7 linked regions of the Canis lupus familiaris genome follow. The protein of the gene in region 2 interacts with the protein of the main gene of each other region in a pairwise test. Links are inferred from orthologs where the notes say so. Each region holds a gene or a part of one and is shown on either strand. Other genes may lie near its edges.

Region 1 (3,951 bases), on a different chromosome or scaffold from region 2:
CCGACCAAGTGTTCCTCCAGTAGCTCACAAATCACCTGGTCTTCCCATACTCTAAAAGAGTATTTTCAAAACTTCCCCTTATTCTTTAAAGTGAGTGACTTTCCTGATTCCTGTTCTGCGGCCACAGATGACCCTGCTCTCCCACGTCAAGACAATAAAAGCTACCATGTTTTTGCTACCAAACCTCAACCTGCCTGCATCCCCACCTCCCCCCCACCCTCCTCTCTTCCCAAAGATCTTCCAAAACTACATCCTATACATGTGCTTAGTCCCCTTTCCCTTCCATCTTTTCTGACACAGACATTAGTGATAAGTTCATTAATTTTACAGCTTCAATGACTTTCCTCACCCAGATCCTTACAACAGACTCTCCTCCCACATGATCTCTGACAATATGTTTAGTTTGTTTCTTTAAGCATCCCTTCCCACAAAGTCCCACAATCCCCACCTCTCCTTATGGTCTTACCCCTTAACCCAGACACCCATTCCTACAGTGGTCACACACCCTGCCAGTCACCACTGTCCCTAGGATGGTTCCTTAGGGAAGTGTTAAGTGTTTACTGTGGCACTTCTCTCTGAGGGCATTAGCAATGCCCGTGGCTTTAAACCAAATGCGTGTCAGCCCTTAACTGCATGAGACTCTGCTGTCCACTCCTCCTTCCTGGTCACTTTCTGCTTCTCTGATCAAGTGTTCACTTTGCAAACTCCTCCTTTCCTCCCTGGCAATTAAATACTGGTGGTCATTAAGGCTCAAGGCTAGGCCTTCTTATTAGTCTAAAGCAGGACTCAACAAACTTTTTCTGAAAAGCCAAATAGTACATATTTTGGGTTTTTAACTCTGCTCTGCTGTGGCAGTGGGAAAGTAACAATGCACACAGTATGTACAGGAATCCAAGTGGCTAAGTGCCAATAAAATGCAGACAACAAAGTTTGAGTTTTATAGAATTTCATATACCATGAAATAAAATCTTCAGATTTTCTCCAAACGTTTAAAACTGTAAAAACCAGGGGGCCTTGGGTGGCTAAGTTGGTGAAGTGTCTGACTCTTGATTTTGGCTCAGGTCATGATCTCCGGGTCATGAGACTAAGTCCCACAATAGTTTCTGCACTGAGTATAAAGCCTACTTAAGGTTCTCTCTTCCCAGGACACCTGGGTGGCTCAGCAGTTGAGCCTCAGCCTTCGGCTCAAGGTGTGATCCCAGTCTGGCAATCGAGTCCCGCATCGGGCTCCCTGCGATGCACCTGCTTCTCCCTCTCTCTCTCACTCTCGTGAGTGAATGAATGAATAAATAACATCTTTAAAAAAAATTCTCTCTTCCCCTCTTCCTCCACTCTTCCTATTAAAAAACAAACAAAAAAAAACCCCTCCCAAACTGTAAAAACCACTTAGCCTGAAGGACATACAAAAACAGGTGGTGGAGTGGTTTGCTGACCTGTGCCCTATGCCATCATCCCTTTTAATGGCATTTATGAACACCCATTACACCCACTGTTCTCTTTATTTTTTTTTTTTTTATTTTTTTTTTTTATTTATTTATGATAGTCACAGAGAGAGAGAGAGAGGCAGAGACACAGGCAGAGGGAGAAGCAGGCTCCATGCACCGGGAGCCCGACGTGGGATTCGATCCCGGGTCTCCAGGATCGCGCCCTAGGCCGAAGGCAGGCGCCAAACCGCTGCGCCACCTAGGGATCCCTGCTGTTCTCTTTAGTACCTGACTCTGACATTAGAATATACATTTCAGGACAGCTTTTCACCACTTAATCCCAGTGCCCAGAATACTGCCGGACCCAGAAAAGACAATTCATATGCACTCAATGAACAACAGCACATTTCCTGTGGCCTTGCCAGGTTAGGTCAATGCAGCTTTGTAACTACACCCAGCTTAAATCACAGGGACCGCTTGGGCCAACCACCTGCTCCAGTGCTCAGTTTTGTGGCTGTGCTAATGTACACATATATGTTAAAATTACAGGACATTTCACTGAGTATCTTTACTCAAATCTTTAAATGGCATGTAGGCTGAACCTCCCATTACACCAGGAGTAGATCAGGTCACTGAGGCCCAGAGAGGTCAAGAGTGTGATCAGACCACGTGTGGGTACAGGACAGGCCTAGGCATTAGGTCTTCCTCTTGCCCTTCCCGTGAGACAATGCAACTGACCGATCCAAGTTGTGTCAACTGGAACTTCTGTTATGCATGTTTTCTCTCTGACAAGCCCAGAGAGCTGAGCTAGGGCTTGTTACTCCTAGAGTTGACCGGGGCGGGGAGGGGGAGGTGCTCCATACTGCCTAGCAAAGAGGGAAGGGAGACTTTTTGGCAGGAGCCACGTTGGTGGGACACTCCACACCTCCATGCCTTACCTGCAGGAGCTCCCTGGTGGGCTGCTGCTGCTTCTCTTCTAGCTGGGCAATCAGGCTACTCAAGTGGGAGATGTTGCAGGAGAACTGGGTGATGGCACCGTTGATGCTGTTGTAGATGGCCAAGTCTAGCTCCTCAAGGCGGGCCAGGAGGCGATACTCATGTTCCTTCAAGGAGTGATAGAGCTGCTCAAACTCCCAGACAATCTTCTCCCTCTCCATCTGGGTCAGGCTCTGCGTAGATGACAGGGGAGGGTACTGAAGGACAGAAGGCTCCCTTCTAGAGCCCTTCATGTCTGTCCCTGACTACCTACCCTGAGACCTCATCATCTTGTCCCGGCATGCTAAAACAAGCATCCTGTTCATTCACTCCTGGTCTCAGGCTTTACCGACTAGACACAATGGCTGAGAAGTGAGTTACCCCAGAAATAAGGAATATAGTCACAGGAGAGCCCGGTTCACATGACACATGCAACCACAGGTAGTGAGGACAGGATGGCCTGCAGTGGGAGAAGCTGGTACAGCCTTCACAGAGGCAATGTAACACACACAGTGTGGTTGGAGAAACAGGGGTTCACCATGTGGTCAAAGGGTAGACACGCTTTCCTGGCAGAAGAAACGACGGGAGAGATGGTGAACGATGGTGTCTGGCAAAGCACCTAAGTTTTGAGGGAGAAGCCAGAAGAGGTAAGAGAGAACACACCTTGCCTGGAAGGCCAGGGTGGGGCAAGACTTTCCTGCAACTAGGAGCCGTGAAAGGGAAGTGACTGGGTTCAGATATATGCCATGTGGGGTGGACTAGGACACTCAATCCTCGCATCATGACTGCAACCACGTCACCAAGGCCCTTCCCGTGCGGCCCTCACCCCCTTTCTGGCCACCAGGGCTGTTCATCACCTACCCTCATTGGCTATGGGTGTGGTGCCCTTCTGGAACAGATGTTTGCCAAAACTAGTCTACCCTTCCTTCTCTATCTACCTCCCACTGCCAAAACCCTGAGGCTCTCTGCTAAACAAAGTGTCAGCAAGCTCCCTTTGTTTACTCCTGGGGAATTAAGTTTTCCTGGGGCCCAGCCACACCCATCATTCACATATTATATTATGCTGCCTTCAGCTGTCACGACAGAGTTGAGTAGTTGTGACATAGACTAAGTGGCCCACGGAGTCAAAAATCCTGACTATGTGGCCCTTTACAGATGTTTGTTGACACCTGTCCTGAGCTCCACTCTTCCTGAGAACCTTTCCCATGACCCACTCTTCTCACCACCTTCCTAAGCACTCTCTGTGCAACACACTGAGGAGTGAACACAAACCTATTTCGCATCCTTTTGGTAAGGTCTCACCTCTCCTTACCTAAAGTCTTTCAAAGGCATAAATGACACAGTGCAACCTCAGAAACAGAAAAGTAAAGCTGAAAAAGACCCAGCGCTTCTGGAAGGGGCTGCTCCTGGCACGCTGGTGGGGGGACTCTGCCTGGCAGGGAACTATCCCTTGCATTGCAGGACATTTCAGCAGCTCTGCCCTCCCCTCCCCAGTCACTCAATTCCTCAAGTGACAACTAGAGAAACACCGCCACACCACGGAAGGGAAGGA
Region 2 (4,711 bases):
ACCCTTTTATCACAGTTAATGCTTGACATCCACCTTCCCTTAAGCAAGACAGAGAAGTCAGCAAAGGGAGCAATCATCAATCAGTGTCAGGGGGATGCCTTAGGGGTCTAGCCAGCTAGAGTAGAAAGCTCTCAGAATGTCTAAGAAGGAATGGTGGGGTTGATGGAGGAGGGGGAGGCTTGGTGAGGGAATGACTGCTCAGCGTGTGACCCTGTTGGCCACAGGCAACTGTGCACAGGCCATTGAAGGGTTTGCCAAAGAAGTATGGGCAAGTGGCTGCCTGCAGGCTTCACAGGACTCTGGTTTCTGGGTTAAGAGGGCTGTAGGAAGGTTATTGCCAAATTTGGGCTGTAAGGTCACAGAGGAACTGGGTTTGAACCTGTGGCTGGGGCAGACCCCACAGGATGTACTCAGGATCACACTCCCAACTCTTGTACTGCTCTAGAAACTGCAAGGAGCTTCTTCCTCCAGCATACTTTACTCAGAAGGCTTAACTTGGTGCCCGCTTTGAAGGAGAAATGCTCAAAGTAATTGCTATTTATCACAGAGCCTATGTCGAAGTGTGTTCAGAGCTGAGAGGCAATGCCTTGATAACTGACACAACGACATATGCTCAAAGTGTTTAGGATTTACATATGGGCTTTCGAACTCCTGACATTGGGAAAGCCTGACTGCAGATAGCCTATGAACAGACTAAGAATTTAAGTTTTTATCATGGGAAGTACCCTGATGAGTTATGCATGCTCATTACTAGTCTAAGACAATTCAGAAGGCTATTAAGTATAAAGTGAGAGTCCTTCATATCATTCATTCATCAAAGATAAATACCGTTTTAATAATTTGGGGTCTTTCCTTCCAGGCTGCTGGCAAATAAAAATATGATTAACACGAAATGAATGCCATGAGGACTCCTTTTAAACTTTTAAAAACTTTACCAAGAATCACTATATTTTTCTGGGTCAACGTACACAATTCTAATAAAAACTTGTCACAGCGCGGTGAGCTTCGGGGTGGCTGGCCCCGGACGTATTTGGAATTCGGTCCCCCCTGCCCCTGCGCTCCCGCGGCCTCTAGGAAAAAACTGCTAAAGCTCCGTTTTTTACATACAAGGTTCTCTCATTTGGCGTCTCTTCTGGTTCCTCCACGGCTGTTGGCAACCCCAGACCCGGGCTGGAAGAGGGCCTCCGACGCCTCCGGGAGATCCCCGAAGCGCCATTTAGGGTTGGGCGGTTGACCAACCCCACGCTCTGCCCCCACTCCTCCGAGCGACCTGCGGGTGACCTCTGCCCTCTCCACGCTGACCTCAGTCTCGCGGGGCACGCCCGGCCCCGCCCCAGCCGCCCAGCTCCGCCCCAGGCCCCGCCCCCAGGAATTACGTCATCCTCCTCGCCCCAGGCCCCGCCCACTGGAGACCCACGCCGTTCGCCGCCCTGGATCCGCCCACTTGGCCCGGCCTCCACGCTCCCGGAACCCGCTCGGCGCTTCCCTCCAGGCCCCGCCCACCGGAACCGCCGGAGCCCGCGCGGCCCCCGGCTCCGTCCACCCGGAACTGGCACCGCCCTCCCTGGCGGCGCGCGCCCGGAAGCTGCGTCGCTCGCTCCACCCAGGCTCCGCCCGCCGGGTCCCTGGCTCCACCGCCCGGGAGGGAACTGCACCCCCGCCTCAGGCTCCGCCCGGGAGGCCCGCGCCGCGCGCCGAACGCCGGCTCCTCCCCCGAAGCCTGCCCGCGGGGCTGGTGCAGTCGCTTCGCCTCAGGCCGTGCCCGGGCCCCAGCCAGCCCGCCATGGAGGGGGATGTCCCCGCCGCCGCCGCCGCCCGCTACCAGCCGGCCAGCCCCCCGCGGGACGCCTGCGTCTACAACAGCTGCTACTGGTGAGGGGGCGCGGGCGCAGCCCCCGGCATCCCGGCTCCCGCGGTCTCGGCGTCGCGGCCGGGCCCCGCCTCTTCCCGGCCCCTCCCTGGGGGCGCTCTGGGTCTCGTCCGGCGAGGTTCCCGCGTGGGGGCTGAGGGAGCGGGAATGGCAGCCCTCGGCCCTTGAGAGGAGCGCAGGCACGGGGCGGGGGCGGATTCCCAGGGGGTGGGCTCGGTGGTGCATTACTAATGCCCGAAGCCTTTCGCTTGGACTTTTGTCGGCAGATCTCAGTGCCTGGGGGCCAGGAAAGGGGAGTTGGAGGCGGAGGGTGGAGCGCAGAGAACCGTTGCGGATTATCCTGCTGAAGCCTTTGTGGTTTCCCCACTGATGTGAAAGGTCATTTTAATTTTAGGAAGAGAATGGGAGAGCGGAGATTTTGCAGTAACTTTCCAAGGTCATCGGCTAATAGCAGCCAGGAATCCAATTCAGGCCTTCTTGTACCAGAAACCATGAGCTTAACCACCATGTTGTCCTGATCGTGCCCATTGTATTTACATAGCACTTGCTGTATGCCACTTGTTTGTTTGTTTTTTTTAAGATCTTATTTATTCGGGGGGGGGGGCAGGCTCCCTGCGGGCCCGATGTGGGACTCGATGGATGGATCCCAGAACTCCCGGCAACAACCACTGAGCCACCCAGGTGCCCCCCCAAACACTTTTTTTTTTTTAATTTTTTAAAAAATTTTATTTATTTATGATAGTCACAGAGAGAGAGAGAGGCAGAGACACAGGCAGAGGGAGAAGCAGGCTCCATGCACCGGGACCCCGACGTGGGACTCAATCCCGGGTCTCCAGGATCCGCCCCGGGCCAAAGGCAGGCGCCAAACCGCTGCGCCACCCAGGGATCCCTTTTTTTTTTTTTTTTTAAAGATTTATTTATTTATTCATGATAGACATAGAGAGAGAGGCAGAGACATAGGCAGAGGGAGAAGCAGGCTCCATGCAGGGAGCCCGACGTGGGGCTTGATCCCGGAACTTCGGGATCGCGCCCTGGGCCAAAGGCAGGCACTAAACCGCTGAGCCACCCAGGGATCCCCCCAAACACTGTTTTGATTGGCTTATGTAAACCAATTCATTTGAGCGGGGGTAGGTGTTATTGTTACCCCCGTTTTAAAGATGAGAACATCGAAGCACAGAGGGTGCAACTAATTTGCATAAGGCCATCCTGTCTAGTAAGTGAAGAAATGGGGATTTACCTGCAGGGTTTGGCTCTGGAGTCCACACACTATCCCCTTGGCCTAGGCCACCTGTGTGACCAAATCACCACTCCTACCTCTGTCTTTTTCGCTCGTACACTTGAGTAATTAATGACTTCTTCCCCAACTTTCAGTTGCAAAAGAAACCTTAGGCCCATCTAAAACTACCTTTTCCTCCTTTAGCTGGCGGTCAAACCATGTCACCAATTTACATCTGTTCCGCTCTGACTGCATGTCAGGGCTAGTGTCAAGTGTTTCCATCCATGGCTCCGAGATAGGTTCTGTCATTTACCTCATTTTATTAACGAAAAGAATGAGCCACAGACAAGCCATGTCCAAGGTCACACGTGTAGCAAGAGGCAGGGCTGAAATTGGAACTGTAGTACAGGAGTCCATGATTCTTAAAGACTGTACTTTAGTACTGCCTTACCTCTCACCTAAATCCTATTAGTTTTTGTCCCTAGCACCCATTCATTATTTTACTTGTTCATCTGATGTTTATTAGGCATGTGGACTGTGTGATATTACAATTGTGGGCACTTGGGAGACAGCAGAAAATAGATTCCCTAGTTAAGATCTTATGGTTCTTAATATTTTGGTTCAGGGAAAGCAGGCAAAACCACGTAAAACCATGTTTGGTGTTAAGTGCTATGAAAAAATAAAGGTAAGGGATGGTGACTCACTTTTATAATGGATATTTAGGGAAGGCGTTGTTGGTAAAGTGGTATTTGAGCAGAGATCTGAAGAAAAAAAAACCGGTGGGAGCTTTGTGGATATTGGAGGAAAATCATCCCAGGCAGGGGAGCAGTGGTGCAAAGGCTCTGAGAACGAAGTGTGCAGGAGTATTCTAGGAACAAGGTGGCTCGTACAGCGAGAGTGCAGTGGTCTGCTGGAAGAATGGTCGGAATGGATATCTCTTCAATAGATGGCCTCCCTTAATTAAGTTCCTTCAGCTGTGGGCTGAGCCCTCCTCGGCTGTCAGGGGCCTGTTCCAGCCCTTCCTTATAGGACTCTGCCCAGATCTGTTTCCTATTCCCTCAGGTCCTAAACCTTAACTGGCTTCACACTGCTAAAAGTCGTTCTAAATTCAAATGAGCCATAGAATCACTTGGGAGCTTGTAAAGTGTGCAGATCTTAGGGTTCTACTCCAGAGAGTCTTGGTGTGTAAACAGTACAGTGGAGGAGTCTTACACTCGTCCATTGATCACGTTTTCAGGAATATAGGCATAAACAGTAAAGTCTGTCTCCTGAGCATATTCAGAGATCTGGTCACTTGTGTTTCTGCAATCTTATTTTGAGCCTGCCTTCTATGCCCTAACCCAGGGTTTCTCACCCATGGCTTTATTGACATGTGGAACGTGCTAATGTTGTGGAGGGCTGTTCTGTGCATTGTAGGCTATGTAGCAGCATCCCTGGCCTCCACTCACTAGAAGCCTGTAGCACCCTGCCCCAATTTGTGACGAGCAAAAACGTCACCAGATAGTGCCAAATGTTCCCTGGGGGGCAAAATTGCCTCAGTTAAGAACCACTGTTCTATCTTGTCTTAATCTATCAGATAGTGTACCTTATTATGTTTGCTCCTGCAGGTTTTTATAACTTGGAAT
Region 3 (4,596 bases), on a different chromosome or scaffold from region 2:
CTGGAAACATGTAATTCAAAACCTTCAATTCAGAATCAGGAGTCCTTAAGTCCTGTCTGAATTCAGCACACCCAGCCTCAATTATCATTTCCTAACTAAGGACTTTAATAAAACACAAATCCCTCCCTAGGCATGTCATTTTGGTTACTGTGACTGAACTACAACACCTCAGCAGATTTCACAAAGATGACCTACTAAATACATTTCTAGCCCATCCCAAGAACTCAAGAAACAACAGCTGGGTACCAAATTACTTTATTTGAAGGAATGATACAAACGAAAGAAGTAGATGTTTCGGTACAACTTATAGAAAAGGTAAAGGTAACCCCAACATGCATGCACTGCCTCGGTGACCAGGGAAGTCACCCTGCGGCTATGGGAAGACAGCCTAAGGCTTAGCTCTCATTATCACTGTTTCCCAGGGTGTGCTTGTCAAAGAGATACTCTGCCATGCCAGATTCGGGAGCCCCCATCTTGCGCAGGTTGGTTACATGGTCACCCAATTCTTTGATGGATTTCACCTGCTCGTTCAGGTAATGAGTCTCAATGAAGTCACACAACTAGAAGACAGAATGGGGAAGAATGTTAACGGTACACTTTCCCAACCCCTAAAGAGGGAAATGACTCCCTCCATTCTCTCCCAGACTGCCAACACTCACGTGGGGGTCATTTTTATCAGTGGCCAGTTTGTGCAGTTCCAGTAGTGACTGATTCACGCTCTTTTCCAAGTGTAATGCACACTCCATTGCATTCAGCCCATTCTCCCAATCGTCACGGTCTGGTTTCTGAACGAGAGGAGAGGAGGTCAGGTCAATGCACGTACAGCCTCTACCTATTATTGCCCAAGTCAGCAAACACCTAACATGCAATCGTTGTGCTTTGGCAAGAGGGACATCCCAGTTTCTCCCACAATGGTTTCCAACTTAACAGCCTTGTGCCCATTACCGTTCACCTCCTTCAACTTAGAAGATAGGCTTAAAAAAACACAGAAGCCAAAAGTACTTCATTTTATAAGAGCAACTGCTAGCTTGAGGGATTTCTGACACCCAAGGACTTGCCGGATAGATGAGACACAGGATCTAAGATGTTTTGTTCACCTTAATATCCTGAAGGAAGATTCGACCACCTCGTTGGTTCTGCAGCTTCATCAGTTTCTCAGCATGTTCCCTCTCCTCATGAGATTGGTGGAGAAAATATTTGGCAAAGTTCTTCAAAGCCACATCATCGCGATCAAAGTAATAAGACTGAAAAGAGAACACGAACATGTTCTGTTAGGAATTGCCAAGCCTAGCCTTTCTTCCTCAAAGTCCAGCAAGAAAGGAGTCTGCACTGAAGACCGCGGACAGGCTGTGCTCTTGGACAGAACACAACACTAGTCTGTACTCTAAAACACAAAAATGAAACGCAGTCCTGGACATTTAAAGTTTACTGCAAGGAACCTTTAGAATATCATAGGGAATTGCCCCCAGCAGATAAATTCTTAAAGCCCTATATGAGAGCAAACTTCTTCTGGCCAGTGTCGCATTTGATTGGAGAGGGTGTGGGAGTATTTACCCTGTACTCCCTAACTCCCTGATTAAACCCATGTTAAAACATGAGCTTGCCAGCTTACAGCATACTGACGGATCTCTAAGATTAACCCATTAGGCAAGGTGACAACTGCTGGCAACGCTAAGCTGTACAAAGAAACTGCCAGCAGAAAACAGAAAACTTGATTCCGTTTTTAGACACTCGCTGAATCCAGGTGTTCCTGAAATGGAATGGCAGTCGCGGAAATCCAGGCCTATTTTCAAATTCATCTGGAACAGGTCTATTCTTAGATAATTTGCACAATCGTAAGGCAATCCTTTTTCTTTTTTTTTTTCTTTTGCAATCCTAAGGAAAACGCCCACCACACCGCCTAAAACCAGGATTTTGGAAAATGGATTCCATCGATCAGCACGGAAAGTTTCCTTGCCCAGTGACTGTTGGTGTAGTTTATTCTAAAACCAAGGGTTCAGCCACAAAAGGATAAAGTACTAAATGCCCGGGCAAGAGGACGGATGACTAAGACAACCGTGTGCGCAAAAGGGGAGATTTCCCTGCTTCAAGTGGGACTGGGCGATAAGCAGAACAGAGCGGGTAGCGATGGCTGCTCCAGAGTGGTCGGCCCCCGGGAGATAAGCCACTGAGCACCAACCCCCGCCCCCAACGGTTGCTATTCGACACCATTACCCAGCAGGCTCCGCCAGTCGCAGGGAGGACGGGGGCTGGACCACTTCGCCCCCGTCACCCAAGCAAAAGGACAGCCTCGGGGCCACGTGATCGACACGGAGAACAGGATGGAAACGCACACCCCGCTTTCCTAACTGCAGGATTGTGCCGGTTGCAGCTGCCGCAAGTCGGGGATTCCTTGAAACCAGGCTCTCTCTAAATACGAAGCGGCGCGCAGAGGCGGCCCTTGACTAAGAGGGAGCCCTCCCAGGGGGCCGTCAGAAAGGCCGAGCCGGCCAGAGTTTCTGCGCACGTCCTGAGAGGCCTCGAGCAGCGTCCATTTTCCAGCAGGGCGAGCAGGGGCGGGAGGGCCCAAGCGTCAGCCACACCCCCGCCCCGCCCCGCCGCCCGGAGCCCGGAGCCGAGCGGCGCTCACCATGGACAAGTAGACGTAAGACGCGTAGAGCTCCAGGTTGATCTGGCGGTTGATGGCGGCCTCGGAGTCCTGGTGGTAGTTCTGGCGCACCTGCGAGGGGGACGCGGTCGTCATGGCGGAGGCTGAGGAGAGGCGGCGGCGGCGGCGGCTGCGCGGCGCTGGGGCGGCGGCGGCGGAGGCCTCGGGGCGGTCCGAGAGCGCTGCGTGGAGGTGGCCGAGGGCTGGCTCTGAGCGGCGGGCCCGGGGAGGGGAGACGAGCGCCGGGTTCCGTCCAAGCACTGTTGAAGCAGGAAGCCGCGGCGACTCTCGGCGGAGACTGGCGCAGACCGCCGAGGCCCCGCTCTTATAGCGGGATCGGGCGTCACGCCCACTCCAGCCAATCAAGACGCCCGCCCGCGCGCGGAGCCCCGCCTCTTCCGGCGGGCGCGCGACCCCGCCCTGGGGGCGGTGGGGGAGGGGCGGCCCCGCGCGGGCTGAGGCGGCGGGCGTGTGGCCGCGCGCGGGGCGGGGCGGGGCGGGTGTCCTCGGCGTCCCGGCTCCCGCGATGGGGGGGGGCGGGGAAGAAGTGCGGTCGGGGTCGGGCGCGGAGCCCCGGCGCCCGGGGCTGGGAGCCGCCGGCACGTGTCCCCTGAGCCGTCCGGGCGGGCTCCCCGAGACATCCTGCCCCGGGGGCAGGTTAAAAGTCCGGGCGGCGGGGCAGCAGTTACCACACCCGGGGGGATCTCCTCGGGCGTCACCTGGAAAGTGGCAGTGGGAGCCCTAGGAGGTTGCGTCAGTTAGAGGTGGGGCGGGAGGGGCTCGCTCTCCCTTCCTCAGGGTCCGGCCGGGAGCGACACGCGGACGGGCTGGGGTCCCGGGGGCCGTCCCCGACCCTCGCCAACATGGCTCCCGGTGCAGCTTCCCCGACAGAGGCTGGGCGGGCCGTGGTTCCCGGGGAGATGCGGTGAGCGGGCGCCTTCGAGGGGGAGCCGTGAGGGACGAGCCCCCGGGGCTTCTGAGAAGATCCGGGGACGGGTTAGAAAAGGGAGGAGAAGCCACTGGGGATCTGGAGACGGAGCCATCTTGGAACGGCTGCCTTGGCGCACCCGGGTCAGGCCACAGCCGGCTCAAGCTGAGGAGATCTCCCGGGGAGCCACCTCCTGGGGCTGCCCCTGCGGAGCGGCCGGTGGGCACAGTGTCCACGGGACCGGGCAGGGCAGGGCAGGGCCGCCGAGTCCCTTCCTTCCAGGCGCCCGCCCTGTCGGCCGGCTTCCAGCTCCACTGTTCGCCACCAGGTCCTTCCGCACGGCTGGGAGACCTCGCCGAGGCCCTTTGGACGCTCACAAACATGAAACCTTAAGCTGAACTTCGCAACCTCAACAAAAAGAAGGCAGGCTCTAAAATGTTAAAATTCGTTGCTGACGGAATTCTGGTGATCTCTTTCTTGGGTCTCTACTGTTTTCGTTTCGGAATGAACATTTTACCTTCAGGAAAAAAAAATTTTTTTTAGGTCTAAAACTACAAAAATAAAATAAAATAAAATAAGCAGAAGCCTGTGGGAGAGTGTAGACGAGGAGTGCCTTATCCAGTCTGGGATAGAAGGCCAGGGAAGGCTTCCCTAGGAAAGTGACAGTTGAGCTAAGTCTGAAGAAAAAGCTAGAAGGAAGGTAGAGTGGAAGAGAATTCCAAGTGGAGAGAACAGCACACGCAAAGGTGTAAAGATGTGGAAATGTATGGCCTGTCCATGGTACCTCAAGAAAATGTGTTGGCCTTGGAAAGCTACAAGGGTGCTACACGGGCAAGGTCAGGAAAGGGTGGCTCAGAAGTTTAGTGCTACCTTGAGCCCAGGGTGTGATCCTGGAGACCCTGGATCGAGTCCCACGTCGGGCTCCCTGCATGGAGCCTGCTTCTCCCTCTGCCTGGGTCTCGGCCTCTCTCTCTCTCTGTCTGCCTCTCATGAATAAATAAATAAAATAAATAAAATCTTT
Region 4 (3,618 bases), on a different chromosome or scaffold from region 2:
CCCGCGGCTCCTCCTCGCCGGACCCTTTCTTTCCGTCCCCGAGTCGGAGCGCTGGGGGCGGGGGCATCCCCTCTCAGATACGGGCTTTTAATGGCGGCGCAAGCCTCTACCCAGATTGTGCTCCCCTCCTCTCAGATCTGAGCACTGGATGGGCCTCTAACTCGCTTTCAAGGCCGGGGTGCTCGCTGCGGCTCACTACAACCTGTCCTTGTCGCTCGGACCTCACACCTGAGAGGCTTTCCTGTCCCCTCAGATCTGGACTCTTCAGCCCCCCGCCCTGCAGCCCTAGAGCAGCCTTAGGGCCGCCTTTGCGCTCCCCCGACCGTCCGGGACCAGACCAGCTTGCTGGGGGCCACCCTGATGGAGAGCTGGACCTCCTGCCCCCCAGCCTCTCACCTGGGGTCACTGGCTCCAGAGTCTTGCCTGTGGGTCCCTGAGCCAGCCCCGTGAGAGGTCAAGGCCCTAAATCAGAAGTCAAGGTCTCTAAATCATAAGCCAGTCCTTGTCCCATCGCTTCGCCAATAACTGGAAGAGACAGGAGGAGTGTCACAGGGGAGCTTTATTGAGAGGAAACAGGGTCACACCCAGCAGACATGCTTTCCCTTTCATCCGGGTCTTGCGCGCTCTCACTCGTGCTCTCACTCGCTCTCGCTCTTTCACACACACACACTCATCTCCAGGCTCTGCCATACAGTCCAGCTCTCAGCCACAAGGGTGGGACACTCCTCAATTCCTAAGATTCAGAGGCAACGGGGGGCAGGAGGGAGGCAGGAGGGGGAGGAAGTGGCCCGGTTGGCGGTGGGGTTTCGGGGAGGGGTGCGGAGAGCAGGGGTGGGCGGGCCCCGACAGCGGCAGGAAGAGCGAGTCCCCCGGCCCTAGCCGGCCTCAGCTCTGCTGCTTCCTCTCCTCGGAGCTCTCGTGAGCAGGAGGCAGAGCATTGGGGTAGGAGGGTCGGGCCTCGCACCCCACACTAGTCCTCTCTGCCACGGGCGGGCGGGGTGCTGGAGAGGGCAGGGCGCGGCGGGGAGGGCGCGGTGGGCGGCTCAGCTCTGGGGTTCCTCGGGAGCCTCGCCCCCCTCTTCCCCGGCGTTGTCGGCGGTCCACAGCGTCAGGTTGTCTCTCAGCAGCTGCATGATGAGGGTGCTGTCTTTGTAGGAGTCCTCGCTGAGGGTGTGCAGGTCAGCCATGGCCTCGTCGAAGGTGGTCTTGGCCAGTGAGATGGCCTCCTCGGGGCTGTTGGCGATCTCGTAGTGGAAGACAGAAAAGTTCAGGGCCAGGCCCAGGCGGATGGGGTTGGTGGGTGGCATCTCCTTCTTGCTGATGTCCATGGCCTCCTGGTAGGCGGACCGGGCTGAGTCAATGATGCGCTTCTTGTCGTCACCAGTGGCCACCTCGGCCAGGTAGCGGTAGTAGTCGCCCTTCATCTTCAGGTAGAAGACTCGACTTTCGGCATCCCCGGCCTCCTTGATGAGGTGGCTGTCCAGCAGGCCCAGCACCGTGTCACACACGCCCCGGAGCTCGGTCTCCACCTTCTCCCGGTACTCTCGCACCTCCGGGCCCTTCTCTTCCGAGCTCTCCTCATTGCCTTTCTGCTCGATACTGGACAGGACCCTCCAGGCAGCCCTCTGGCCCCCCACCACGTTCTTGTAGGCCACCGAGAGCAGGTTTCGCTCTTCGCAGGACAGCTCCTCACCCTTTTCCACGGCGCTCTTCATGAAGGCTGCCATGTCCTCGTAGCGCTCAGCCTGTTCTGCCAACTTGGCCTTCTGGATCAGACTGGCTCTCTCCATGGCTCTGGTGACAGACAGGCGGCGGGCTAACTGGCTGCCTTGAAACCGATGCCGGATTCTGTGCCTCTCCTGCTCTCTGCCTGCCTTTTGGCTGGAAGGTCTGGCCCCAGAGAGGGGTGGGGAGGGACCGAGGGCGGGGCTGGGGCCCGGGACCTGCCTCCCTCTGGTCTTCTCCCCACACCCTTTCCGGCTCTTCCTTAAAGGTAAAAGGCTGGGATGTAGGGTGAGTCATCGGGGCTCAGTCTGCGGGAGAACTCCGCCGGGCGTCGGCCCCACCTGCACAGGACACCTTTCCAAGCTCCAGGCTGCCCCCTCTTGTTCGGTGCTTTGATTCCATGAGTGCCCACCCAGATGCCCCAGTTTCTCAAATCAGATCCTCCTTCATGGTGTTCTTCCAGGGGCCAGGGATGGCTTCAACCAAGTGGCCGCTTCAGCCTGGCTAGAGCGCATGAAGACAGGTGCACCCAGGAGGATGGGGTTCTTAATCCTACCAGGTACATTTTCCACCTTGGTTTGGGTGAGATAATTATGTTTAGGTAGGGCTGTAGTTTCCCAAGCACCTTCACAGCCACGATTGGATTGAATCCTTACTATGTCTCTGTGAGATGGGCCAGACTATGACTTTTACTCCCACTTTAGAGGTGGGAATGCTAAGGCTCAGAGAGGGATGAGATTTGCTCAAGGTCACACAGCTAATAAATCCCCTGTATCCTACTTCCTTTGGCTTCTCTCGTCAAGGCCTCTGACTTGTAAGCTCCAGACTGTATTTAGAAGTGAAATCCAGGCTTCTTCCGGAGTCTACCTGAAATGGTTCTCTCCCTTGGTCATCACCCCCCCTCAGGGTTCCCTCTGAGGTCCCAGAATGCACAGGTGGCATCGTTCAGGGTGCCACTTAATGAGGTATTTAATGAGCGGCCCCTGACGCTCCAGCCCAGCCTTTGTAATTAGTCATCCAGTAGGTTTGTTGGACACCTTCCCCATCACAGCACAATTTTCCCTTTCAAGTTGGTGGCCTGTTACCACTTGTTTGAGGACCTACCCTCTGGCTCTCCACGCCAGGTCACCTACCCCCTCCAAGCCGCCTGCCATCATGTATCAGTGGGGCTCACACAGGGTGGGGGCCCAGCTCTCCTGCCTGACTCAGCCTGCCTTCTGTCAAAGGCTGGGAAGCAGGCCACTTGGGTGCTCAGCCCAATTTGGTTCCCCAAGGGGGACGCTAGCACCTGGAGAGAGAGACAGGACCAAGATAAAGAAGGTGGCGGTGACACATACCATTTTGTTTTATAGGGTAGCAGTACCAGGTGAGTGCTGCCTCCCCCAGTCTGCCTCTCAGAAATTTCCCTGTCCCTTCCCTTTGATTATGGCCCCCCCCTCCTCTGGCCCCTGGTAGAGGACTCAGAGATGGGAGACTTCTCTCTTGCCAACCTTCTGTCCCTATTTGCTGGGATGCTGTTCTCATTCAGCCAGGAGTTTCACCTGAGGTGTTGGCCCTGTGCCTGTGAGGGTGGGTTCCTGCTTATCTGCCCCACCCCTAGCCAAGGCTCAGATGGGGCTCAGGGGTGGGGCTCCCCTCACTGGGATCCAGCCAGCCTAATCTCTGAGCCAGGGCCATTTCACAGGCCTGTCCCTCCCCGGTTCCTCTCCGTGCCTGAATCCCCACCTTCCCCTCCTGGAGGGAGGCTTAGCCCAGAACTCTGAGGCCCAAAGATGAGATCTGCCTTTTTGAAGGAAAAGTAGGAGCATGCCTGGGCAGATACTACAGGTTTTCCAAGGAAGCAGAAGGTATTTTAGGCTTGACATCTTTAAGGCTTTGCTCAGATGGGATCAC
Region 5 (3,320 bases), on a different chromosome or scaffold from region 2:
GCTTCCTGTATACCAGGCGCTGTTCTAGAAGCTTCTCTGGTCTTCATCCACTTCCTTTTCTCAGCACCCCCACCCTGGGAGGTCAGTCCCTACAGATGCAGAGACAAGGCCCAGAGAGGTAGAGGGGTTTGCCTAGAGCCACACAGCAGCGAGGTGGCGGGCCTGAACCCTGAAGCCACCGCATGTAGCTGGGGTCTGCGCCCGCGGCTTTCTAGGTCTCTCTCTGCCCTCCCCCTTGGGGCGGGGGGGGTGCTTTGGGAGGTGCCCAGAGCCCGTCCCTGCGGCGGGGGCCTGAGAGAGGCCAGCGGCTCGCCATCTGTTACCCAACAGTGGACTCTTCCCCGCTGGTGAAATCAAGGCCAGGCCCCCTCGGATACCCCTCGGTGAGCTGGGCCCAGGGCCCCGCCAGCCCGCCCTCCGCCCTCTCCAGCCGCTGTGGCTTCTGGTCCTTCGTCCCCGGCTGGACAGTTTTCCCCAGTGGCTCCGACTGTGGCCTCTGAAGCCAGCTTTCCGGGGCTGTGTGACCTTGAGCGAGTTACTCAACCTCTCTGGGCATCCGTTGCATCATCTGTGAAATGAGGATGACGCTCGTATCACTGATCTCATCAAGCGTCTGGAGTGCAGAGAAGTTTCTCGGAGTCCCTGGCTGACCCGGCGTGTTTGCTGTTTGCTCGACTCTGCTTATCTGTGTTATTCCCCGTTACTCTCTCCGCCACCAGAGCCACAAGGCTGATTGCAGGATCCCCGGTTTACACTTAGAGAGCCTGAGGGCACACACGTCCCCTCCCCTCCCCGCGCCATCTTCACAGAGGGGGACACGGCCTTCTCCCTGCACAACAGGGGGCTCAGTCCACCCCCACCCCCCCATCTTGTTCTTTTCCAGCCTGAAGCTCGAATGTGACAAGCTGGCCAGCGAGAAGTCCGAGATGCAGCGTCATTATGTGATGGTAAGTAAGCTGGCCCTGGGCGGCGGGCAGGGCAGGGGGGCGCGGGGTGACCCTGGACCCTCCTCCACCCGCCCTGGCAGCTGCCTGCACCCGGCCACCTCCTTGGGATGGACGAGGATCGGGGTCCGCGCTCCATTCAGCCGGCCCCAGGGCCTGGCCCAGGCCGCCTCGCTGGCCTGGCCGCCCGCCCAGCCAGTGGCCCAGGTGCCAAACCACCGGGTTGCAGCCCGGGCCTGCCAGGTCCCCCGGCTGTCCTTGGCAGCAGAGGAGGCCGCTGCCGTGGAAGCCAAAGCCAGGAACTGACTGGGGGAGCGGCCGGATCCCTCCCTGCCCCCACAGGCCGGGCAGTTAACCCCTCCCTGCCTGAGCTTCAGCAGGAGGGGGGGGGCAGCCGCCGCGGGCAGGAAGCTGACATCCTGGGAGGGGGAGGGAAGGGGTGACACTACATTCTTTGCCTGACATTTGAGATCCTGCCTGGATCCATCCCCGCCAGGTGGCAGTCCCTACATCTAAAAGCCCCCCTCCTTGGCCCAGCCCAGAGCCCAGCTCTCCCAGGCTTGGCTGGGCACTGACCCTCCTGGCCCTGGAGGGATAGGGAGGGGGCGAGAGAGAGCTATGGGGGACTGGGGGATTCCCCAGGGGGGGCTCACTGCCCCAAGCGGGGGCACTGCAGCTCGGGTCTTGAAGAATGAGTAGGAGCTTGCTGGACAGAGAAGAAGAAACCACGGAAAGTCCTGGGGATGAACTTGGCTGCCCCTGCCCCACCCCCAGGGATGATGGGGAGCCATGAGGGGGTTTAGAGGAGGGGAGGAGGCAGGGTCAGATCTGGGGCGTGAGGGGGGTGCTGCTGACCCCAGAGCCAGACCCAGCAGGCTTTGTTTATCCTGGTTATTTATACCCAGGAAGGCCAACTTCCCTGGAGTCTGGGGCCACCCGCAGACAAGACACATAAAGATAAAAGATTAGGCGCCCTGGAATGTATGTGTGCTGGAGAGGGGGCTGGATAATTACTCCAGAAGCCAGGGGAGCCCGGCCAGGCTGGGGCCAGGCTGGGGCCAGGCTGGGGCCCTGACGCTTCCCCAGCTCCCCGCAAGTGGCCCCATGAGGGGCCAAGACCCTGCTCCCGCATGCGCGCCCCACCTGCCCTCGTCCTCCCACACTGTGCGTCCCATCCTTGGCCCACCCCATTTCTCTCTCTGTCTCCCCACCACGCAGTACTACGAGATGTCCTACGGCTTGAACATCGAGATGCACAAGCAGGTAGGCCACCACCCCAGGCAGGTGGGCCCGCCCCTTGGTGACCCCCAGGTCTACCCCCCTATCCTGTTACCTTCCACACCCCTCTCCCTGTTCTTTCTCCGGCCTCCCCCAAACTACCACCCCCACCCGGCTGACTCCTGTGGGAGGGGGTGACACGCCAGCACACTGAGAACCCCCAGACTGCCCCTCGCCCTCCGGCCCCCTGAGGTCGGCCAATATCAGGGATGTCCTAAGAACTGTGCTGTGGGCCACCCTCTCCCCCATGCTGGGTGGCATCTTCCCAGGGCCACCCAGTCCCCGAGCCTGGACTCCCGGTTGGCCCCAGAGCCCACCTTTGCCTCCGACTGGGTGCCCATAGGCTTGAGGTGCTGATGCGACCCGGGGCCCAGTTGGGCTCCTCTCAGCCGGAACCCCGCCAGCTACTGGGGCTGGTCTGCACCTGCCCCTGCCGCCTCCCCGCCGCCTCCCCTGCACTGAAGCCTCTGTGTGTTGCAGGCCGAGATCGTCAAGAGGCTGAATGGGATTTGTGCCCAGGTCCTACCCTACCTTTCCCAAGAGGTGAGTGGCACCCCCGGGGCTGAAGGGAGGAGGAGGTGGTTGGGCCATGAACTTGCCCGGGCCTCCCCCCACCCCGACCCCCGCCCACGGCCCTCTGGGGCAGCAGCTGCTGGGTGCCCAGGGCACACGCCTCCCCTCTCTGGACCTCCCAGACACAGAAGATCCGCAGATCGGAGGAACCCCAGGGGCACAGGGCAGTACAGGGAGGGGCCTCACCCTGCTGTGGAATTCCCAGCCTGAGTGAGTCATTTCGTGGGTGAAGACGTCAGATATGCCAAAGGCTGCACCAAGGATCTTTTTTTTCCCTTTCTTGCTTCTGCCTTTTTCCCTTCTGAGATCTGTGTGCCAGGCCCCTGGGGGCCGCCTCAGGCCAGAAACCAGGGGCCGCATGTTCGGGGAGGGCACTTGCACACACACGTGCACACAGAGGCAGGCGTGCACGGGCTCAACACAGATAGATGAGGCTCGCACGCGCACCTGCAGACACAGGTCTGCACGCACATGAACGCAGGGACGCGTGGACACGCACCCCGGGGAACCACGCACTGAGCTCTT
Region 6 (4,649 bases), on a different chromosome or scaffold from region 2:
GCTGACATTCCCCCACTGTCACCACTGATAGTCTGAGGTAAGCCAACTAAGGAGGGTTCCGCTGGGCGCCTGGCATCTTCAATTTGGCTTCCAATTGCCTGAGCTAATGATTGTGCAGAGAACTGAGTAGAACTTAGTGGGATCTGTTGTGCCAGAGGCAGATTTATATTAGTTGCTATCAAGGGAGGTTGACTAACACTCTGAACCAAATTACCATTTTGAGTGGCAGGGGTTTGTGCTATATTCTGTGGTGGAACCAAGTTTGTTGGGGCAGAAGGCATTCCAGAAGGACCAGCTGAACTAACCTGATTTGTAACAGAAATACTACTAGCAGAGGGCAAAGGACTAACTGCAGGCAACTGCTGCGAAACTTGAGCTACTGATTCTACTCCTTGCGGCTGGGGAGGCACAGTTAACAAGGTACTTTGGGGTGCAAGGACCAATTGTTGAGGAAGGCTCGAAGCACTAGTTTGAACTCCCTGATGAATAATCGCGGTTTGAGCAGGTGAAACTATCTGTGAAGACGGAGGAGCACCTTGCTGAATAACTGAAGGTGTGACTTGGGTAGAGGGCTGCTGCACCGCAGTAGCTATGTTTGCCTGTTGACCAATATTTGCGATTTGACCGCCAGTAGGTACCACAGATCCTGCCGTCTGAGCCTGGCCAACAGGCTGGCCAGAGGCCCCTGCAGGTTGTGCTTGGATTGCGGTGGGCTGCACTGGCAGCTGGATGCTCTGTGGCTGGGCCGTAGGAATCACGGTCGATCCTGCTCCCACGCTCGCAGCACTGGGCTGTCCCGAGGACACCGCTGTTTGGAGCATCGGCGGCGGCGGCTGCTGCTGCACATACTCTGAAGTAGGATTCTGAGTCACCGGTTTACCATGGCCTGGGACCATCTGTGCAGATACAGTCGGTTGCTGTTGTCCATACTGTAACTGTTGGGGTGGTGCCCCTGGAAGGGGAGCTTGCACTGGAGGAGCCGGCTGAGAATATGGCAGTTGGGGTTGAGCCAAACTGGAAATGGAAGGCTGCTGACCTAAAGCTGAAGTTACACCAACCACATTCACAGGTGATGGCTGGATACCCGTCGCGGTACTGAGAGTGGCTTGCAGAGGGACAGGCTGAAGACCTGGCTTTTGATAGCTCAGTTCTTGCGACTGCAACTGTACTTGTGTGATCTGTGACTGAGAAATACTCTGTGGTATACTGACTGCTGAAATACTCTGAGGACCAGAGCTACTGAAATCCATCTGTTGAAGAGCCATACCTTGAAGAGTTGGCTGCTGCTGCTGCTGCTGCTGCACCACCACAGTAGGGGCTCCCATCTCTCCACTTCCCACACTCTCTGTGTAGTGACTCAGTGTGCTGACACTACTGCTCACTGAACTCCCACTAGTGCTCTCCCTCTCAGAAGTCACTTCTGGGTTTTGTTTTACAGTTTCCACCACTTTATTCATCGCCACACCTTCTGCAGCAGGTGCGGCGTTTTCTTTCTCATAGAACTCGGTGCAAGTCCATCTACCTTTCTTAAAAGGTTCAGAACTAGAATCTAACTTCACAACTCTGAACCTCGACGTGTTAACTGTCGGTGGCTGCTGCTGACTGGAAACTGATCCCACAGTCATCCCTGCAGCTGCATTAGGGGCGCTGTTAACAACAGCGGAGGAAGAAATAGAACCATTGCCCATGCCACTCAAGATATTCACATTCACACCGCTGCTAACTCCAGGCCCGACACTCGCACTAGCAGCACTAGGGATATTGCTCGCATTTATACTGGCATTACTAAGCATGCTGCTTGTCACGCTAGGATTAAAAGTACCCACAGCAGTGATGTTAACATTATTCACCGTAGTAGCGCCAGTAACAGAACTTATACCTATACTGCCGGTAGTACTTGGAGCTCGGATATTAGTCATTACGGATGCAGGTGAGCCTCCCGATGATACAGCAGAAGTCGGTGCAGCTGGTGCAACGCTGTCGGCGCTTCCAGGGGCAGAGAGTTTTCTGGATCCCGGGCTGGAGGGTGGCCCTCCGGGAATGGGTGGACTGGCCACGCCGGCATGGGATGGATGGTGGTGCCCGTGGTGGAGGTGGTGCCCGTGATGAATGTGATGGTGGTGATGGAGGTGGTGAGGATGAGCGTTCCCATTGATCACAACGTTCTGGGGGGGAAGGTGGGGCAGATGAGGCTGCGGGAGGTGGGGCTGGTTGGGAGACACTGCCCCAGGTGTCTCGGCTTCCTGGAAGTTATTCAGAGTCTCTTCTGAGGAGCTGCGCTCAGGCTCCCCCAAGTCGGTCGCCCTGGAAAGTGACACATCGAGGATCTCGGAGGAAGACAGATCCTCCGTGTGGGACTCGTCCAGGTCGTCGTAGCTCTCCGTGTCCTCGGCGATGCTGTTGTTGGAGCTGATGCTGGCGGAGATCTGAGCCGGGGTGACGCTGGTTATCTGGAAGCCACTTTTCTTTTTCATCTGAGTCCCGCCCGGCGCGAGGGGCTGTGCCTGCAGCTGAGCCTGCGAGAGGAGGTTCAGGCTTTGTGGAGGCGGAGGCTGCGGCCCCGACGTGGAGGATGCGGCGGGGGGAGGCGGCTGGAGCAGCGACGGAGGCGGAAAATCCTCGGAAGATGTGACACTACTACCGACGCCGGTACCTGCCGCGCTGAGCGCAGAGGCGCCGCCGCCGCCGCCGCCGCCGCCGCCGCCGCTGCCCCTTCGAGGGAACATCGCCGGGTGCGCCATCTTCCTAGCGCTAATGTCTGCAGCGGCCGCGGCCGCCGCGGCGGTGGACTCGGGCGGCTGGTGCATTGTGTCGGGGGCCGGGGGGGCGGAGGAGGCGAGTGCAATTTCCTTCTTCTGCACCGTAATCTTTGTATTCGAGACGCCGGGGAAGAAAACGGGACCTGACGCTCCGCCCGGCGCGGGTCCGGGTCCTCCTCCTCCTCCTCCTCCTCCTCCTCCTCAGCAGAAGGCGCCGGCCGCTCCTGCCTTCGAGGGCGAGCTTCGGGAAGGGAGGATGAACGAGGGTGAACGGGGCGGCCCGAGAGGTGGGGGAGCGGGGGGGACCCCTTCAGTCCTCCGCCATTCACTTTCCCCTCTAGTCTCACACCCCCCTCTCTAGTCCGCCTTCACGTGGGGTGCGGGGCAGGAGGGAGGGGGCAGGGGAGGGTGGGGGTGGGGTGGGGTGGGGTGGGGTGGGGGGGAGACGAGGGGGAGGAGGAGGTGGGGAAGCCGAGAAATGCCCACCTTCTCCGGCCGACTCGGGGGCACCGCAGCCCCTGCGGCGGCGGCCGCTGCAAGAGCCTCCCGGGCGCCGTGCACCGGCCGAGGCGGCGCGGAGCGGGGGCCGCCGTCCCCTCGCCGCCCCCGAGCCCCGAGCCCCGAGCTCAGGGTCGCTCAAGCCTGTCCCCTCCCGGCCCCGCCGGCCCCGCTCGGCCCTCCCCGCCCGCGCCCCGCGGACCCTTTCAAACCCCCTGGGCTCGCGGCGGCTGTTCCGTGAGCAGACGCTGGCCGCGGCCGGGGCCGGGGCGGCGAGGCTCGGAGCGGGGCGGCGGGGCGCCCGGTACGGTGAGCCCAGCAACGGGGCGCGGGCGGGCGCGCAGGGACGCCGGGTCCTCGCGGAGCACGGCCGGGGCGCGGCGGCGGCGGCGGCGGGAGCGCAGGGACCGCTCCATCACTGGCAGCCATGGAGCCCGAGCATTTTCCTCCCTCGGGGCAGGCGCCTCGGCTCGGCACGCGTCCTCGGGGAGGAAGGGGCCGGCGCCCGGGCCTCCCCGGGGGGCGGCGGCGGGCTGCGAGCCGCTCGGCTCCTCGTCCTCGTCCCCGTCCTCGTCCTCGTCCTCGCGGGCGGCTCCTTCCTCGGCGGCGCTGGGGGCCAGACGGGCTGGTGCAAGCGACTGCAGCCGACGCCGTTCAAAGGAACGGGAGGTGGGGTTGGCCGGTGTCGGCGAGTGGGTGGGTGCGGAGGGCGGGCGGGCGGGGAGGGGGCCGTGGTGGTTGTTACTAGTGCTCTCCTCCGGCTCCGCCGCGTCCCCCAGTCTCTCGCGGCAGCGGGAGAGGAGGGACCAGCGCCCGAGCGCAGGAGGAGGAGGAGGACGAGGAGGAGGAGGGGCGACCGCCGGCGAGAGGAGGAGGAGGCGGCGGCGGCGGCAGGGGGGAGGGGGAGGGGGCAGGCGAAGGAGACGGAGGAAGATGGCGTCTGCGCATGCGCCCCGGCGCCGCAGACAGAAAGCCGGGTCCGGCGGAGGAGGCGGCGGCGGGGCCTCGGGCCTCGCCGAGCGCCGGAAATTGCCGAAGGCTGGCGGAGGCGCCGAGGCCGCGGAGAGAGGGGAGGGGAGGGGAAGGGAGGGGAGGGGCGCTTCGGGCGGGGGAGCGGATCCGGGTCGGGCTGCGCGGCTCGGCCCGAGTGGGGGCGGGGCGCGGGGCGCGCGCGCGCAGGTTAGGTGTGTCCGCTCTGTTCTCGCTCGCGGCCGGTGCGCGTGCGCGGGCGCGGGAGCGGGCGCGGGCGGGCGCGCGGCAGGGGAGGGGGAGGGGGCGGGGCGGGGCCCGGGAGTGCGCGCCCCGGGGAGGGGGTGGGTGTCCGCCCCCCCCCCCGCCCTTGCCCGCCCGCGGAATGGGTAATGAGGCTTTTCTCCGCAGCAACAGCATCAC
Region 7 (4,276 bases), on a different chromosome or scaffold from region 2:
ATCGTGAATTTTTTTTAAGCTACAGCTTCATTGTCTTAGTCGAAACAGGATGATTATTTTAAATTCTTTTTTTTTTATTAGCAACTTCAAGTATAACAACTGAAACTGGAATAAGTATTTTCTATTAATAAAAATGAATTTTGACAAAAAAAAAATAAAATGGCTGCTATAAATCAGAAACATTCATTTTAAACAGGTATGAGAAATTATTCCTGTAGTAAAACAAACATTTTTAGCTGAAAAGGGATTTTTTAAAAAATAATCCAGGTTTTTATTTTTTTTATGATAGTCACAGAGAGAGAGATAGAGAGAGGCAGAGACACAGGCAGAGGGAGAAGCAGGCTCCATGCACCAGGAGCCCGACGTGGGATTCGATCCCGGGTCTCCAGGATCCCGCCCTGGGCCAAAGGCAGGCGCCAAACCGCTGCGCCACCCAGGGATCCCTGAAAAGGGATTTGAAAGGGGAGAAAAAGCATTACTAGATAACATCCTGAGCCCCATTTCAGGATTTCCTAACTTTTTATAGTAAGTTAATATTGACTTAGGTCTGTTCAGCCTTCTAATATTTGCCTTGTAGAAAACATGCAAAAATTGAATACATTGAAAGGTTCTGTAATTCAAACTCAAATAGTATGCTATAAGGTTAAAGATACAGTAACTGAAGTTATATTTTTTTTAAGTGACACCAGGAAATCTTCCTAAGAGAATAAATATAGAGCTTAATTACACTGAAATTTTATATATGTGTCAGAAAAAAAAGACAATAGAATTTTTTAAATACTTTTATTCATATACATGTATTTTGACAACTTCAAATTTAGAACACTTAGAATCAGCATGAACAAGAACTACCATTCAATGACAAGGATTTGAAATGGGGGAATAGATACTGTAACTGGTTCTTATTAATCTCCCCATGCAACAAGACACTCCCTGTGTCTTGTACACAGAAAAATTGATTCACACAATTCTAGAATTGCAGTATTTTTCTAACATCCCATTCCATAGTCTCAGAATACTTTTCAATTAAAGTGATCCAGATGTTTCGAGATGAAAAATAAAACAATTTGCTTTGTAAGGCTGAATAAATAGTATGAGTCACATTTCTTTCCATTAATATAAATTAGGGAAAAAACTTAGGAACAATTTACTGTAAACACAAAAACTATTCACAATATTAGTAACAACGGCTCATATTTTTACCGAACACTTCCTGTGTTTGCCAGGCCCCACGCTAAAACATCTGAACATGCAATTTCACAATTATCTCAATGAGAAGTGTCAGGGATTCACATGGTTTTTACAACGGATGATTGCCACAATGACAGCTGGCACTGAGCACTTGTGTACAAGTCTTTACCTGGCATTGCAGCGAGTACGACTCACTTGTAGCAGCTCAGGGTGCTCATTTGCGCGATTGTACTAATGTTACATGAATACTCAGGCCTGACTCCCTACCCCCACCCCCAAAACAGCACATGGCGGAAGTCTTTACCACTAGGGACACATCTGTAAGAGCACGGAGACAAGGTAAGCGGCTGCGATCTAGATGTGCACTGTCGCCGTTTCCTGGGCCTCAGAAGTGCCCCTCCAAGCCTAACTGCAGGAGGGCGGCCTCCGCCTCCTCCTCCTCCTCCTTGGCCTCCTCCTCGCGGATCTGCACCAGCAACTGGAAGAGGTTAGGGGCAGGCCCTTCCGCGGCCCCGGTCAGCCACAGCTGCCTCCGGATGGCCCCGCTGTGGTTGGCCCCGGCAATGACCTGCTCCAGGCGGGCCTGGTTCACGTTATCTTTATCTATGGCCCCCTTCTCCACCACCTTCTGCAGAAGAGGCTCCAGACGAATGACATACGCAGATAACTTTTCTCCCGGGTTCTGGTAAGTGTTCAGAAATCTGACCTGCGCATCCCTAGAGCTCTCGACGCTCCCAAACACCTGCTCAAGCGCCTTCAGGCATTCGGCAGTGGTTATCGCAGGGTTGTTCGTCTTGAGGATGCGGATGACATCAGCGGCGGGGCCCCGAAGACTCTCCATCAACCGCCGCCTCTTTTCTACATCAGACACCTGCCACTCCTCTATGACCTCATTAGTGTGTTCCAGCCAGGGATCAAAGGTCTCCTCCCCAGGCCCCGGGATGTCCCTCCCCGAGAACAGCGTCAACTTCTTGTACCATATGGACTCAACAAGAGGCTGAATAACGTTATCTAAAATATAGTTTAGCATCTCTGCTGGCATATCTGGACCCGGGGCCGGAGTGGGGTTCTGAAACCCAAGGACGCGGGCAACATCTTGCACGGTCCACCCCTCTCTCGCTAGGAAGAGGTGCAACCTTTCTAAAAATTCAGCATCGGAAGTCGGGGGTTTAAAGACCACTTTCCAGACACCTCCTTTACCCGGCATCTCCCTGGGGATCGCGGCGTAATCGACAGCGCCAGTGAGCTCTAACAAGGCTGCTTTCGCATTCTCTTCCCTCCAAAACATCCTCCCAAGCACTCGATAGGGCACCTGGGGCATCGCAGCCTGGAGGGTCTCCTCGATTTCAGCCTCATCACAGTTCACTGGGATCCCCCAGACCAGCAGGGCTCTCTGGGAGTTCACATCCATCCCCCGGCACCAGTCTTCCAACAGCGTCATCGCCATTTCCCCAACTAGCGAGGGCCCCGATTCTACAAAGACGGATTAGGCTGTGGCTCCCTGCGCTCTAGGGCTCAGCGCGGCAGCAGACACCCCCCCACCCCCGTAGGCGCGAGGGAGGCAAGCTTGACGCAATCACAATTAACAAACGACACCAGAGTCCTGCCCTCTTCCTTCGCGGCCCCCAAAGGCAGTCCGCCGGCTGGTCCCCGGAGCCAAGCCCCGGGAGGCTCGGGCAGTCGCCTCACGCGTCCGCCGCCACCGGCGTCCTCAGTCGGGGCCCGCGGCCCGGGTCCCCCACCTGCAGCCGGGGGTCGCGTCCCGTCGCAGCGCAGGAGGCGGGCAGCGAGCGCGGCTGGCGAGGGCTGCGCCGCGGGGCCGGAGGCGCCCGGGTGTGGTCGCGGGGCGTGGCCGCCTCCTCCCGGCAGCCGGGCGCCGGCACTCGGGGCTCCCCTCGGAGGCGATCCCGGCGTCCGCGGCCGGAGCCCGGCCTCCAGTCGGCCGAGGAGCGGCTGCTCTGCAGACGAGGGCTGTGCGGTCCCCGGAGGCAGAGCCTGTTCTGAGGTCGCGGCGGTGGCTGCCACGCCAGCCCGCCAGCGGCTTCTTTGCAGACGCAGGGATGGCTCCGGGCGGTGAGGGCGGCTGAGGACCGAGCACACGGGCGGCGGAGGCGCCGAAGGACGGGGAAGCGGGGCCACAGGCGGCGGCGGCGCGCAGGCTGCGGCGGGCTGCGGCGGTGTGGCGCAGCGGGGCCGCCGGGGTCCCACCGCAGCCCGCGGAGGCGTTACTGCCGCAGTGCGGGGCGGGGCCGGCTGCGGAGCCGCTTCCTCCGCGCCCCGCCCCCGAGCGTAGCCATGGCAACGGCGGCCCGGACTCCCGCCCGCTCCGCGCGCTCCCGGGGTTGGGGCTGGGGGCGGGGTGGGGCGGTTGCAGAGGCGCTGGCCTGACGCTCCGGACACTGCTCTCTTTGGTGGCGCATTTCCTTTTTCACATTTTCCAGTTTTTATTTCATTTCTTAAAAAAGATTTTATTTATTCGTGAGAGACACAGAAAGAGAGGCAGTGACACAGGCAGAGGGAGAAGCAGGCTCCACGCAGGGAGCCCGACGCGGGACTCAATCCTGGCACTCGAGGAGCACACCCTGGGCCGAAGGCAGGCGCCAAACCGCTGAGCCACCCGGGCTGCCCTTTATTTCATTTTTTAAAAAAGATTTTATTTATTCATGAGGGGTGGGCAGAGACAGAGGCGGAGGGAGAAGCAGGTTCCCTGCAGGGAGCCCCATGCGGGGCTCTATCCCAGGACCCCAGGATCCTGACCTGAGCCAAAGGCAGGAGGTCAAACACTGAGCCACCCAGGTGCCCTTAAAAAAAATTTTTTTTTTTTTTTTTAACAAAGCACCTTGTTTAAAAGATAATATAATTCTGGAGTGGAGTTAAGGCTGCAAATGCCTCCGTCACTGGTCTTCCGCTGGGTAGGAAAATACGGTCTTTAGCACCGCAGCTTCCCTGTCCCACCTGATTGCATTCTGCACCCTCCATACATCCCCTCAAACTAACACGTTGGAAGCGTGCCGTGTTCATATTTTTGTGTGAGACACTGAGTTGAGACTTTTTCTTGTCTAAAGTTTTGTAAAAAAAAAAAAAA

What was found.
Region 1: the proteins of NTAQ1 (region 2) and TRIM27 interact in binary tests that used the Homo sapiens proteins (3 or more experiments, as listed by UniProt). The two-hybrid records come from large-scale screens. The link is inferred for Canis lupus familiaris from reciprocal best matches to the Homo sapiens genes NTAQ1 and TRIM27.
Region 3: the proteins of NTAQ1 (region 2) and ferritin heavy chain interact in a two-hybrid assay, tested with the Homo sapiens proteins (2 studies listed by BioGRID and IntAct). The two-hybrid records come from large-scale screens. The link is inferred for Canis lupus familiaris from reciprocal best matches to the Homo sapiens genes NTAQ1 and FTH1.
Region 4: the proteins of NTAQ1 (region 2) and SFN interact in binary tests that used the Homo sapiens proteins (3 or more experiments, as listed by UniProt). The two-hybrid records come from large-scale screens. The link is inferred for Canis lupus familiaris from reciprocal best matches to the Homo sapiens genes NTAQ1 and SFN.
Region 5: the proteins of NTAQ1 (region 2) and TLE5 interact in binary tests that used the Homo sapiens proteins (3 or more experiments, as listed by UniProt). The two-hybrid records come from large-scale screens. The link is inferred for Canis lupus familiaris from reciprocal best matches to the Homo sapiens genes NTAQ1 and TLE5.
Region 6: the proteins of NTAQ1 (region 2) and TSC22D1 interact in binary tests that used the Homo sapiens proteins (3 or more experiments, as listed by UniProt). The two-hybrid records come from large-scale screens. The link is inferred for Canis lupus familiaris from reciprocal best matches to the Homo sapiens genes NTAQ1 and TSC22D1.
Region 7: the proteins of NTAQ1 (region 2) and PNMA1 interact in binary tests that used the Homo sapiens proteins (3 or more experiments, as listed by UniProt). The two-hybrid records come from large-scale screens. The link is inferred for Canis lupus familiaris from reciprocal best matches to the Homo sapiens genes NTAQ1 and PNMA1.

What each region holds. Positions count from the first base shown.
Region 1 is NC_049256.1:27,401,607-27,405,557, forward strand, and holds part of TRIM27 (zinc finger protein RFP), read right to left. Parts: intron 2,594-3,951; coding exon 2,363-2,593; intron 1-2,362. UniProt on the Homo sapiens protein: E3 ubiquitin-protein ligase that mediates ubiquitination of various substrates and thereby plays a role in diffent processes including proliferation, innate immunity, apoptosis, immune response or autophagy.
Region 2 is NC_049234.1:22,155,043-22,159,753, forward strand, and holds the start of NTAQ1 (protein N-terminal glutamine amidohydrolase), read left to right. Parts: upstream 1-1,691; 5' UTR 1,692-1,783; coding exon 1,784-1,872; intron 1,873-4,711. UniProt on the Homo sapiens protein: Mediates the side-chain deamidation of N-terminal glutamine residues to glutamate, an important step in N-end rule pathway of protein degradation.
Region 3 is NC_049239.1:55,066,659-55,071,254, reverse strand, and holds ferritin heavy chain, read right to left. Parts: upstream 2,923-4,596; 5' UTR 2,744-2,922; coding exon 2,630-2,743; intron 1,245-2,629; coding exon 1,098-1,244; intron 786-1,097; coding exon 660-785; intron 561-659; coding exon 396-560; intron 395-395; 3' UTR 305-394; downstream 1-304. UniProt on the Homo sapiens protein: Stores iron in a soluble, non-toxic, readily available form. Important for iron homeostasis. Has ferroxidase activity. Iron is taken up in the ferrous form and deposited as ferric hydroxides after oxidation. Also plays a role in delivery of iron to cells.
Region 4 is NC_049223.1:72,665,191-72,668,808, forward strand, and holds SFN (14-3-3 protein sigma), read right to left. Parts: upstream 1,891-3,618; 5' UTR 1,791-1,890; coding exon 1,044-1,790; 3' UTR 542-1,043; downstream 1-541. UniProt on the Homo sapiens protein: Adapter protein implicated in the regulation of a large spectrum of both general and specialized signaling pathways. Binds to a large number of partners, usually by recognition of a phosphoserine or phosphothreonine motif.
Region 5 is NC_049241.1:56,590,350-56,593,669, forward strand, and holds part of TLE5 (TLE family member 5), read left to right. Parts: intron 1-883; coding exon 884-947; intron 948-2,162; coding exon 2,163-2,207; intron 2,208-2,702; coding exon 2,703-2,765; intron 2,766-3,320. UniProt on the Homo sapiens protein: Transcriptional corepressor. Acts as a dominant repressor towards other family members. Inhibits NF-kappa-B-regulated gene expression. May be required for the initiation and maintenance of the differentiated state.
Region 6 is NC_049243.1:6,343,588-6,348,236, reverse strand, and holds the start of TSC22D1 (TSC22 domain family protein 1), read right to left. Parts: upstream 3,108-4,649; 5' UTR 2,808-3,107; coding exon 1-2,807. UniProt on the Homo sapiens protein: Transcriptional repressor. Acts on the C-type natriuretic peptide (CNP) promoter. Acts to promote CASP3-mediated apoptosis.
Region 7 is NC_049229.1:47,276,169-47,280,444, forward strand, and holds PNMA1 (paraneoplastic antigen Ma1), read right to left. Parts: upstream 2,893-4,276; 5' UTR 2,639-2,892; coding exon 1,577-2,638; 3' UTR 767-1,576; downstream 1-766.